Linked DNA regions of Sus scrofa. The main gene of each other region encodes a partner of the protein of the gene in region 3 in a complex. Links are inferred from orthologs where the notes say so. Each region holds a gene or a part of one and is shown on either strand. Other genes may lie near its edges. The genes, in order: USP12, USP46 and WDR20.

Evidence for each region.
Region 1: the proteins of WDR20 (region 3) and USP12 are in contact, whole or in part, in a crystal structure (PDB 5K1C), measured with the Homo sapiens proteins. The link is inferred for Sus scrofa from reciprocal best matches to the Homo sapiens genes WDR20 and USP12. Residues at the interface, in NP_653175.2 of Homo sapiens: Asn41, Ser42, Gly44, Ser45, Arg151, Ser170, Lys259, Ser260, Tyr261, Phe262, Gly263, Glu282, Asp283, Asp284, Leu285, His301, Lys304, Ser305, Trp306, Gln374, Asp375, Thr376, Arg516, Met517, His533, Glu534, Arg535; in NP_872294.2 of Homo sapiens: Glu207, Asn209, Thr210, Ser211, Thr213, His214, Arg217, Arg277, Val279, Phe280, Pro281, Leu282, Glu283, Leu284, Arg285, Phe287, Asp297, Met299, Gln342, Glu345, Tyr348, Thr351, Ser352.
Region 2: the proteins of WDR20 (region 3) and USP46 are in contact, whole or in part, in a crystal structure (PDB 6JLQ), measured with the Homo sapiens proteins. The link is inferred for Sus scrofa from reciprocal best matches to the Homo sapiens genes WDR20 and USP46. Residues at the interface, in NP_653175.2 of Homo sapiens: Asn41, Ser42, Gly44, Arg151, Lys259, Tyr261, Phe262, Gly263, Glu282, Asp283, Asp284, Leu285, His301, Lys304, Ser305, Trp306, Gln374, Asp375, Thr376, Leu509, Arg516, Met517, His533, Glu534, Arg535; in NP_073743.2 of Homo sapiens: Asn205, Thr206, Ser207, Thr209, His210, Arg213, Arg273, Val275, Phe276, Pro277, Glu279, Leu280, Arg281, Phe283, Asp293, Met295, Gln338, Glu342, Tyr344, Thr347, Ser348.

The regions. Positions count from the first base shown.
Region 1 is NC_010453.5:4,637,692-4,641,337, reverse strand, and holds part of USP12 (ubiquitin carboxyl-terminal hydrolase 12), read left to right. Parts: intron 1-1,313; coding exon 1,314-1,527; intron 1,528-3,646. UniProt on the Homo sapiens protein: Deubiquitinating enzyme that plays various roles in the regulation of the immune response and inflammation.
Region 2 is NC_010450.4:39,547,413-39,551,058, forward strand, and holds part of USP46 (ubiquitin carboxyl-terminal hydrolase 46), read right to left. Parts: intron 2,783-3,646; coding exon 2,569-2,782; intron 794-2,568; coding exon 564-793; intron 1-563. UniProt on the Homo sapiens protein: Deubiquitinating enzyme that plays a role in behavior, possibly by regulating GABA action. May act by mediating the deubiquitination of GAD1/GAD67.
Region 3 is NW_018084979.1:1,033,785-1,037,430, reverse strand, and holds part of WDR20 (WD repeat-containing protein 20), read right to left. Parts: coding exon 2,526-3,646; exon of another isoform or gene 1-2,525. UniProt on the Homo sapiens protein: Regulator of deubiquitinating complexes. Activates deubiquitinating activity of complexes containing USP12. Anchors at the base of the ubiquitin-contacting loop of USP12 and remotely modulates the catalytic center of the enzyme.

The DNA.
Region 1 (3,646 bases), on a different chromosome or scaffold from region 3:
GGTTAATGTTTACGGATCCTGTCCCTGGCAGGACTGTGAGAACCGTCCTCATTCCTTTTTTTCACAATTTCCAGGCGCTCCCCACAGCTTCAGTGACTGACTTTTAGGTGTTTTATTAGTTGGCATTGGGAGCCAGTTTCTGTTGATGGTAAGGGAAAATGAAGGCAGAACATATTTATCAATTATGTGTTATTTTCTTTGTAAGGCAGGAGTGTTTCCTCCTGTTATTAAAGAGCAGGGAGTTGAGGCTCCGTGAGTGGTATGGACCTTCTCCAGGTCACATGGCCAGTAAGACAGAGGTTGTGGTTCAGGACTGAGCTCAGGAGCTGAGTCCACGTCTTTCCCATAGATCAAGAGTAGTCTGACCTGCCATTTCAGCGCGTCCCTGGTGGATATGCTTTGGCACTGGTGCTTTTTCAGTTCATGTTTCAGAGGGTCTTGTTTTTCCTTGTCTCTCCTTTTTGTTCATTTTTTGGATGCCACTGAGGAACCTGACAGTAAACCTCACTTATGTGGGAAAGAATTTTTTTGAGAGTTAGATTTATTTTTATTTATTTATTTACTTTTAGGGTCTCACCCATGGCGTATGGAAGATCCCAGGCTAGGGGTTTCATCGGAGCTACAGCTGCCGGCCTACACCACAGTCACAGCCACACCAGATCCAAGCTTCCTCTGCAACCTACACCACAGCTCACAGCAACACCGGATCCTTAACCCACTGAGTGAGGTCAGGGATCGAACCCACATCCTCGTGGATACTAGTTGGGTTCGTTACTGTTTAGCCACAACAGGAACTCTGAGAGTTATATTTTAAAATATATAGTATATCAAGTGCTTTGTATATAATTGATACTAACGATGGGAATTGAAAAAGAAAAATTCTCCAGGATCCTAAAGATTACCTATTCTCACGGTTTAAACTGTATGGTTTTTTGTGTGTTTCCTTTTCTCTCTTTTTCCCCTTTCTCTTTTGGAAGTTCCTGGACCAGATCCCAGCTGCAGCTGCGCCTACACCACAGCTGCAGCAACACTGGATCCTCATCCCACTACACCACGGCAGGAACGCCCCAAACTGCCGGGTTCCTTGAATCTGTTTTCGTTAAGGCCAAGCTTACTGCATGTGTTTGCTTCCATTGTAACCGCAAGACCGGAAGCGGATGCCAGGAGCGTCCGCTGAATGTCGCAGCGGCCGAGGCAGTTTCAGTTCACGGGGATCATGAGGCCCCCCGCTCTTCTCTCCGCCACCCACGTGCGCATTTGTTCTCGGGACTGCGCGTTCCCCCTTTTCACAAACCGTGTCTTTTCCACCCCAGTTCGGGAACACCTGCTACTGCAACTCCGTCCTCCAAGCACTTTATTTCTGCCGTCCGTTCCGGGAGAAAGTTCTCGCCTACAAGAGCCAGCCCCGGAAGAAGGAGAGCCTCCTCACGTGCCTGGCCGACCTCTTCCACAGCATCGCCACGCAGAAGAAGAAGGTTGGGGTCATCCCGCCCAAGAAGTTCATAACGCGGTTACGGAAGGAGAATGGTAATGGGCTGCGTGCCGCGTTGCTCGCGGGCCGGGGGGCCGGGCGGGGATGCGGGAGCCTTCCCGTGTCCGAGGAGGTGCCGGTTCGGGGAGGGCTGAGCGCTGTTCCGAGATCTGGGTCTGTGTGCCAGCAAGCGAGGAAGCCTGGCATCGCGTTTGGCCTGCCAGGCTTCTCCTCTCGAGAAAAGTTTGGTTTGGGGCCCAGTTATTGTACATTTGTGGCTTTCATCTCGCTTTCGTGTGTGTTACCTCATGTGGTCCTGACAGTAACGGGATCTGGGGAGCATGTTACTGCCCCGTTTTGGCGTGAAAAAAACAGACGCTAAGGGACTCGTCAGGAGTCACACCCCAGGGACGAGAAAAAGCCAACAGTAAATTAAACTGAACGTCCCGGCCTAGGGTAGGCGGTTTTACCCCGTCCTCCTCCCTTTAAAAGTAGTTACTGGCGTTCCCGTTGAGGCGCAGTGGTTAACGAATCCGACTAGGAACCATGAGGTTGCAGGTTCACTCCCTGGCCTCCCTCAGTGGGTTAAGGATCTGGCGTTGCCATGAGCTGTGGTGTAGGTCACAGACGTGGCTCGGATCCCGTGGGGCTGTGGTGTAGGCCGGCACCTATGGCTCCAATTCGACCCCTAGCCTGGGAACCTCCAGATGCCTCAGGTGCGGCCCTAGAAAAGGCAAAAAGACCAAAAAAATAAAAAAATAAAAGTAAATAAATTTAAACAGTTACTGATTACACCCCACTTCCCTTTTCTCTTAAGATGCTTTTCCTTCCGTTTCCACGGCCGGCCCGCACCTTAGACATCGGCTCCCTCCCTTCACGTGCATCACTGGTGCTCAGAGACGGTGGCGAGCTCGGCTCCGTCCTGGTCCTGAGGGTGGAGCACAGCCGTCCGCTGGGCTCTGCTGCCCGAGTTCAGAGGGGTCTAGGGGACACGTAGGGTTCTGGGTTCCGTTCTGTTGGATGTAGGCATTTCCACCCCTGTAGAAATAAAGTCGGGGGGTGGTTTAGTTTGTTAGCTGTCAGCTACAGGGATCCCAGTGCTTGGCCGTTTCTGCTGCACAACAGAGCGAGCCAGCTGGACGCGGACACCCTGACTCACTCTGTTGTGCAGCAGAAGTGGTCACAACATTTAAATCAACTGTGCTTCAATAAAACTTGAAAAAATGAAAAAAAATGCGGTGGTGTCTGCGGACATATGACTTGAGACGTCTTTAAGGTTGGTTGGTAAACACACCAGTGGGGCGTCCTGCCCTCGGCTCCGCTGACCTGTTCATCGTCACATGATTAAGCGGGGTCGTATCTAACCTCCTGAAGCGCACAGAGACGCTGCAGTGGTGGGGCCATAGATGATTATTCTTGAATCTGATCCCGTGTTAAAGATTTTCTTCACCTTTTCTATATAAAAATATAGAGCAGTTGATTAACTGCTCACAAAACACACATCTCTGTTGTGTTTCCCTGATTAAAACTAAACACTGATGTAAACTACGGGCCTGCATAGTATCTTCTGTTTTAAAAGAGCCAAGTACAACTCGGTTAGAATGTGGACTGAGTGATTCACGTCTTTTTGCCCGTATTAGTAAGAAACTTAAAAACGTTTGTCCTGGCAGAAAGTTTGTGTAAGTTGACCCTTGAACGGCGTGGTCTGACTCGCGTGGGCCGGGCGTCTGGGGTCTGCTCCTTAGTAGATCCCGCAGAACTCCGCCCTCTGCACTGGCTCACAAGCACAGACGCGGGACCGGGACCAGGGACCACGGGTACAGGGGATTGGGTCTCTGTGGGGAGTCCCTGCTCCTTGTTCAAGGGTCAGCTGTACACGGTAACCGAACATGCTGTCCTTTCGGGGCGATGAGTGTTTCAGAAAACGTTCCACGTCAGAAACATGAAACGTAGAATGTGAGTACCCACTGTTTCCCTTTCCATGTAACAGGACGTTTTTCTTGACCTTGTTGAATAGTGGATTGTACGTGTTCTCTCTTAGTTAGAGCCGCTGTGGTCAAAATCCCGGACACGAGGTGGCTTAAACCATAGAGGACTTATTCCTCCCGGTCTAGAGGGTGGCCAGTCCCAGGTTAAGGCACCAGCAGGGTCATTGCACACGGCCACCCTCCTGCT
Region 2 (3,646 bases), on a different chromosome or scaffold from region 3:
TCCTGAATCACTGTCTGGAAAATATTTTCAAATTCGACTAACACTAGGCGCCTGCCATGTGCCAGACTCGCCCAGACACAAAGTCACCCAGTCTTTACCGCAGTGCTATAAGGGACTGGTCCTGAACACCCAGCAAACTGCTGGAGAATCCGAGGTCAAGCTTGTCTTTCCATTTCAAGTTCATCCTACCATGGCTGATTCCCCTTATGTGGGGGAGAGGGACCGCCTCATGGCCAAAATCTTTTCAAGCTAAGTGGTGGAGGTCCAGTTCAATGGTCGAATTTTTAGACCCTCAAAACAGCCCGTGATGCAAAGCAATCTAGTTTTTGCGATTTTTCCCTCCTCACTCTACTTGAGGTGGCTGAAACATCTTGGCTGGAGGCATGCTTCCAAAAGTCTGCATCTGAGGTGCACACACATAAATAGACGATGTGCAGGTATTTGAGACAACTGCGGGGGCTACAACACCGCCCTGCACTCACGACACCACCCTGCATTCACGCACAACGCAGCTGTTACAAACACGCACAAGCAGCTCACACGAAAGCCCTCCTGATGCTTACAGTTTCACAGTTCAAGCATCGAGTCTCATTGGTGAGCGTTCCCTGAAAGATCTCATGGACCCAGGTGAGTTCTGGTTTATTATTCTCCGCAGGTTCGTTCATGTTGCCATTTTTTAATTTCCCATTTTGTTTCTCCTGCTTCTTCTCTTCCTGCAGGATGTCCGCAATAGTGTTTAGCAAATAATTTAGAAACTCGTGAGCATCCTGCTGCATGTAGTTATCAAAGAGATCTGGAAGGGAGAAGGCCATTATTTCAACCTCTGGTTCTTAAAAGGCAAAGACAGTGCTTAATTGTAAAAAACCACACTTCAGCTTTTATATTGAAAGAGGAGAGAGGTATGGCATATATTCATCTCTATTGTGCAACTTCAATGGATTAGTTTTTAGAAAATTTTTGTTCTTTTTCCATTTTTCACCTACCATCCACCAAGAACTAAATTTCCCATATCTTCTTAAAGCCATTGTATACATATATATGTGTGTGTGTGTATACCGTGTATACATATACGAAGCTACCAAAGCTTTTTTGTTTTACAGAAAGAAAAATAACAGGAATTACTTGATAAGCTCCCTGATAAAATATCAATATTGAATATGAGGTGACCACCAATGATTAATTATTCACTTTGTACTTTATCCAGAGCAACAGGGTCTCTTCCCAAAGATTGTATTAAACCCTGAACCAGCCTGGAAGCGGCTTCAATGCAGCACATAAGGGAGATGAGGGCTGTACACATGAGACTGTACCTATCCGATAGCGCTCTGAAACCAAATACAAAAGATTCCAGGAGCCGGTGGCTGTTGCTCGCCCTAAGGACAAGCAAGAGATGGATGCAGCTATGAAACTTCATTATTAATCATGTTGACAAGGAGACTTGGGAGGGGGCTCTGCTTCCCTCTCAGATTAGTTTTATTCTGGTCTGTATAAACTACAACAACTTCAAAAGACAGCAATCAAGTTCCATGAGACTTTATAACACAAACATCTGATTGTGCAAGTCTGTTGCAAGTGAGGTTGAAATCCTGGGGGAAGCACAAGTTGCCATAGCACATATTCTATAGTCACAAAATTACCCAGGCAGAATTTTTGGAATAACCTGGTCTCCACCACTACCTCTTCCAAAAAGAAGATTTAAAACAAAAAACAAAAAAAGGAGATTTCCTTGTGGCTCAGCAGAAACAAACCCCACTGGTATCCATGGGGATGTGGGTTCAATCCCTGGCCTCACTCAGTGGGTTAGGGATCTGGCATTGCCTCAAGCTGTGGTGTGGATTGCAGACGAGGCTTGGATCCCGTGTTGCTGTGGCTGTGGCGTGGGCCAGAAGCTGCAGCTCCCACTGGACCCCTCGCCTGGGAACTCCCATATGCTGAGGGTGAGGCCCTAAAAAGACAAAAAAAGGAAGAAGAAAATCAGCCAGACATTTTTATCATGGAAAAATATCAATGTGATATCTTTCAAATGTCTTGGCGAATAAAAATCAGGAGGATTATTTTTAAAACAGCGCAGAGGCTCTGATTAGATAATATGCATTTACTTTAATCATTTATGACAAGTTTATAAGACAGTACGATTTGATTCAATTATTGTTATCAATCTATTTATTTCAATCAGTGTCCTGCCTTGGGCGATCTCTCCTCTTACAAGATCCTATCCAGAAAAAACTCCTCCCAACAATGAGCAATTAAAAAGATCACTCCAAAATGGAATGACAAATTCAAGTTTTTAAGTACTTTTATTCAGTTTTGTATGGTTTTGGTTGTTGGTGTTGGTTTTTTTTTTTTTTGGCTGCACCTGCAGCATGTGGAAATTCCTGGGCCAGGGATCAACCCAAGCCACAGCTGTGACCCTGCCGCAGTGACAACACCGGATCCTTAACCAGCTGTGACACAAGCAAACTCCCATTACAAAAAAAAAAAAAAAAAAAAGATTCATTTTGAGGCGACACAGAACTATCGATTCCCCTTTTCAGAGCCTGAAACACATCTGTCCCCAGGCTAACTCACCATTTTCTTTTCTCAGCCGCGAAATGAACTTCTTTGGTGGGATCACGCCGACTTTCTTCTTCTGCGTGGCGATGCTGTGGAAAAGGTCTGCCAGGCACGTCAACAAGTTTTCCTTCTTTTTTTGCTGGGCCTTGTATGCCAGCACATTCTCCCGGAAAGGCCGGCAGAAGTACAAGGCCTGAAGCACAGAGTTACAGTAGCAGGTGTTTCCGAACTGCCAAAGGACAGCAAAGAGAGTTCCCATCAGGGTCCAGGGCCGTGCCACCTCTGGATGGGGTGATGGGTGGGAAGAGGGCCACCCTCTGAACCGGCCCAGATTCAGCACACACATTGCAGAGTTGCTCACCACGTTCTAAGACCAGTAAGCCACTCTGAACACCAGCAATTATCCAATCACCACAAGCCTGTTCAAGCCTGTTCGCACTCCAGCCCATAAAAGCCTTTAAGACGATCAGAAGCCCTTGGCCTTGATTTTTAAATAACCTAATGAGAACTTCCGGTGCTTAAAAAGAGAGGCTCTGAGGAAGAAAAAACTGACTTCCTGTGGAGCCTCAGAAAAGTAGCTGGCTCCACAAAAGACGTCACACTGCCACACACCAAAACTCCTACGACAGGGAAAATTAAAAGCCCAATCAGAAAGAAATCCAGGTTCTAGAAACCACTTGCTCAGCTAAAACTGCCTGAAGTGCAAGGGGATTGTTTTGGTTTCTCTCTTTCAAGATTCTAGCACACCTGCCCTTGGTCTCAGACTTTCTTCACTTTCTCCAGAGCAATCTTGTTTCTGCCAAGGAGGCAGCTGTCCCACCATAATACCACTCAGGTCCCGGTCTTGTGCAATCTGACTGGGGCTCACCCCGTAAGACTCTGCCCCTCTCAAAAGCCATGGATACTCAAGATCATAAGTAACAAGGGAAGACACCATCTCACTGGTTTTCAACCAACCACAGAGCCAACGCTTTGGGAAAACCTGGAGCTGAGACATTCACTGTAGAATTTTTCACACATGCTAAAATGAAAACAATCTAAGGAAATCACAAGAGTAATAACGTGGCTGACAAAATGCTGTGTGAGATGAAAA
Region 3 (3,646 bases):
TTGGTCAACACATTTCAGAGCTGTTTTTTTTTTTTTTTTTTGGTCTTTTTGTCTTTTTAGGGCCGCATCCACGGCATATGGAGAGTCCCAGGCTAGGGATCGAATCGGAGCTGTAGCTGCCGGCCTACAGCACAGCCACAGCAACGCAGGATTCGAGCCACACTGTGACCACAGCTCACAGCAACGCCGGATCCTTAACCCACTGAGCGAGGCCAGGGATTGAACCTGTGTCCTCATGGATCCTTGTCAGATTCACTTCTGCTGAGCCACAAGGGCAACTCCTCGAGCTTCTTTCTTAAGGACACGATACCATCCCCCTCTCGCCTCTCCTACCCTGCTCCCACCCCCAGACCCCCCCAGGTTAGTCTCCCCAGCAGACACTGACGGCCAGAAGGAACCAGAAAGAGCCCAGTCGCCCAAGCGCCAGTTCCGCGGGCCACACGCAAGGCTCTTCTGCCAGCAGTGTGATGAGCTGAAAGGTCATGCTTGACAGGCTCTCCTCCAAAGGCTACTTACCTGGGATCCGATCGCCACTTCCGCTTAGGCCAAATACAAAGTCCTGAATTTTGAAACTGCATACTCAATGCCTCAGAAGCATTTGAAACGGAATTTCTGAAACTATGTGGGTACATACGGCTGCACGTGGCGTGTCGGTCCCTAACCTCTGCATCTGACAGCCAATTTATTAGCCTTCGCAGTTCAAAGAGCCCACAGGGATGGCTGGCTTTGCCACCCTAGGGTGGTTAACGTTTAGGAACAAAGGACCATACCTTCCAGGTTACAGGACGCCAACAGTCCCACGGACCGTGACGCGTACCCAGGGGGACATGCAGCTGGAAGGACACTGCCACTGCTGCCACAGGTAACAGAGGCCACCTGCGTCACGGGCAGGTGGACACGTGTGCAGCGGGGCATGGCGGGGGGAGCTGGCCCGGCCTTCCCCGGGGAGGGGGGCGGTGGGTGGGCGCGCTCTGGCTGCTGGAGGAGCACAGCGCTTCTGCTCCATCAGCCACCCTCACCCTGCAGAGAAGCCAGGGTCTCCAGGCCGGCACTTGGCTGAACTGCGTTTACGACTCACACCAAGGTAAGTGATCAGGCTGGCTATGTTTAATCGCCAAGGCGGGTGCAACAGAAAAACAAACCGAAGTGACCAAAATAATAAGATCCGCATCATCCTGACTTAAAACACACAGCTCAAAGCGCCATCTCATCCATCGTCTCAACTGGAATCGGAAAGAAAACCCCGCCCACAGCTAGGAGGGATCTTGAGGACTCAGTCAAACACAGCAGTTTCCCCTGGAGGCGGAAGCCTCCGGAAGCAGCCAGTCTGAGCAGAGGGCGGCCCTGGCACCAGCAGCCACAGACCCCAGGCAGGGGAGGCGCTTGGGGTGGGAGCCCCCGACCCAGAGGCCCGGGGCATCCCGGGAATGATCACAGCTCGTGAACCACGACTAACCTGACCACAAGAAAAGGAGCAACCTGCACCGGCCCTTCCCCTCCGGCGGGAACACAAAACCCAAACCAGGGAAAAGCTGCAAGTTCTCTGCACCCTGGGGGCCTAGGAGTCTTCACACCACAAAGCCGAGGAGTCTGAAGGGCCTCCGGTCATGTGCCTTTTGACCAAAAAACCACAAAAACTCACAAGAGTCCCTCCCCCCGAACCCAAAAGAAAACAGAACCTCCTTCCCCTTGCTGGAGAAAACATAAGCAAATTGCATTCGACATAAAAGATCTTGGCTTATGTGTCAAGAGGCACTTCTGCCAACGCTGCTGGCGCCCTCAGCCCGCAGTTCATGGTAACTGGCCAGGCTCGTGGATATTTTATTTAGTGCACAGAATCTCAATCAAAGTGCTACAAACTGCTTCTTTGAAAAAAGATGTTTATTAAACAATTTTAATTGTCATAAAATGACTAAAATGGGTTTTAAAAATTAAGGCTCTTCTCTTTCTGTGGATTGCCAGACAATGTAAAAATAATATCAATCAACCCTGCTGAACGCTTTGTTCCTAAAGTTAAATTTCATAGATTCCTACACATTTTATGATTAAGATAAAAAAGGGGACTTCTTATAAATGACAGTTAATGGCCGCCCGTAGTGAACACACGCTCTGATCAGGTGTACAATATTCTAATTGAGTGCTTGAGCAAAAATATTCCAGTTGAAGCAGAAATTTTAATTTTAGCATTTTTAAAGTCACTGTTTCCCCACACTGTCATGATTTTCCTAAAATCGAAATCGTCTAATACAGGAACGCTAGCCTGGGGACGCTATATACTCCCAGGAGGGTGACTGACTTGGCTGGCAATTAGTTTGATTATATTTTTTAAACGTTCTAAGGTGAATTATCAAATGATTCGGAATTACATGGCATGCAGTATCCAAAATTATGGCTCTGATGCATTGAGATTTACATTAAGAAGAAGTGTCATTCACAGTCATTGTACACCCCGCCCCTCCCGCAAGAAAAAAATCACTACCTATTCAAGTTCTAGATCTGGTGCAGCATTAAGGGTTAAAACTTACCACTTTACCAGGCCTTCCCCATGTGCAAATAAATCCCTCCTGACAAGCAGTGACTATACAGTCTTCAAGAAAAATCAATACCGTCAGTCTTTCGTGGGCTATCTTTTTACAGATGAGCGGCTCTAACAAGGGAACGTCTTCCATCCGAGGGCACAGGGCCGTGCCCAGAGTTTTAGCTGGGTCCGTTCTGGCTTTCGTGACCAGGTTCAGTTTGTCGCTGCTCTTGCTAGAGATGTGTCCCATGCTGTGGTTTCGCTTGTGGTCTTTCTCGTGGTGCCTGTCCTTGCGCTCGTGCAGGGAGAGCGTGGCGAACTTGCTGACCCCGGACGCCACGGCCCCGTCGGCGACGCTGCTCTTGCTGCCCGCGCCGGACACGGCCGAGTGCGGGAGGCTGTTGGACCGCGGCAGGGGCGGCGGCGCCGCGTTGCCCGGCGTCGAGACACTGTTCCCGGCGCTGCCGACGGGGGGGCTCGTGGCGTTCATGACGTTGGTGTGTGTCCTCGCTCTCGAGAGGGGCTGGTGGGGGAAGAGGATGTCCTCCGTGAGGTCCCAGAGGCAGAGCTGCGTGTCCTGGCCCACGGAGCCGAAGCGGTAGGTGACGCTGACGGGGCGGCTCTCGGTCGAGTTCCGCTTGGACAGCCGGGACTGGGTGCTGTTGGCGCGGTCTCGGCCGAAGTGCAGAAGGTCTTGGAAGTCCTCGTCGCTGCCACTCAGCTCCAGAGGGTCGCTCTCCTCCACGCTGGTGGTGTAGGGGTCGAAGGCCACCACGCTGACCCAGGACTTGTGCCCGTGGCCCCGCGCTATCACCCGGCGGTCTCCAAAAGACCAGACCGTCACCAGGTCGTCCTCGCCGCCCGTCACAATGTACTTGCCGTCGGGGCTCCAGCACACGCACAGCAAGCCTCCAAAGTAGCTTTTCATGGTGCCGTGCAGCTCCACCGAGTCAAAGTTGAACACCCGCAGGAAGCCGTCCTGGCTCACGCACGCCAAGAACTTGCCATCTGGGGAGAAAGCAAACTCGTTGAGGGCCCCCTCGCCCACCGTCCACTTAAGGAGAGGGTTCCTCGTGGATTTGCTCTTGCAAGTGTGCACGGCAAAGCTCTCTCCCTGCTTCAGAAGCT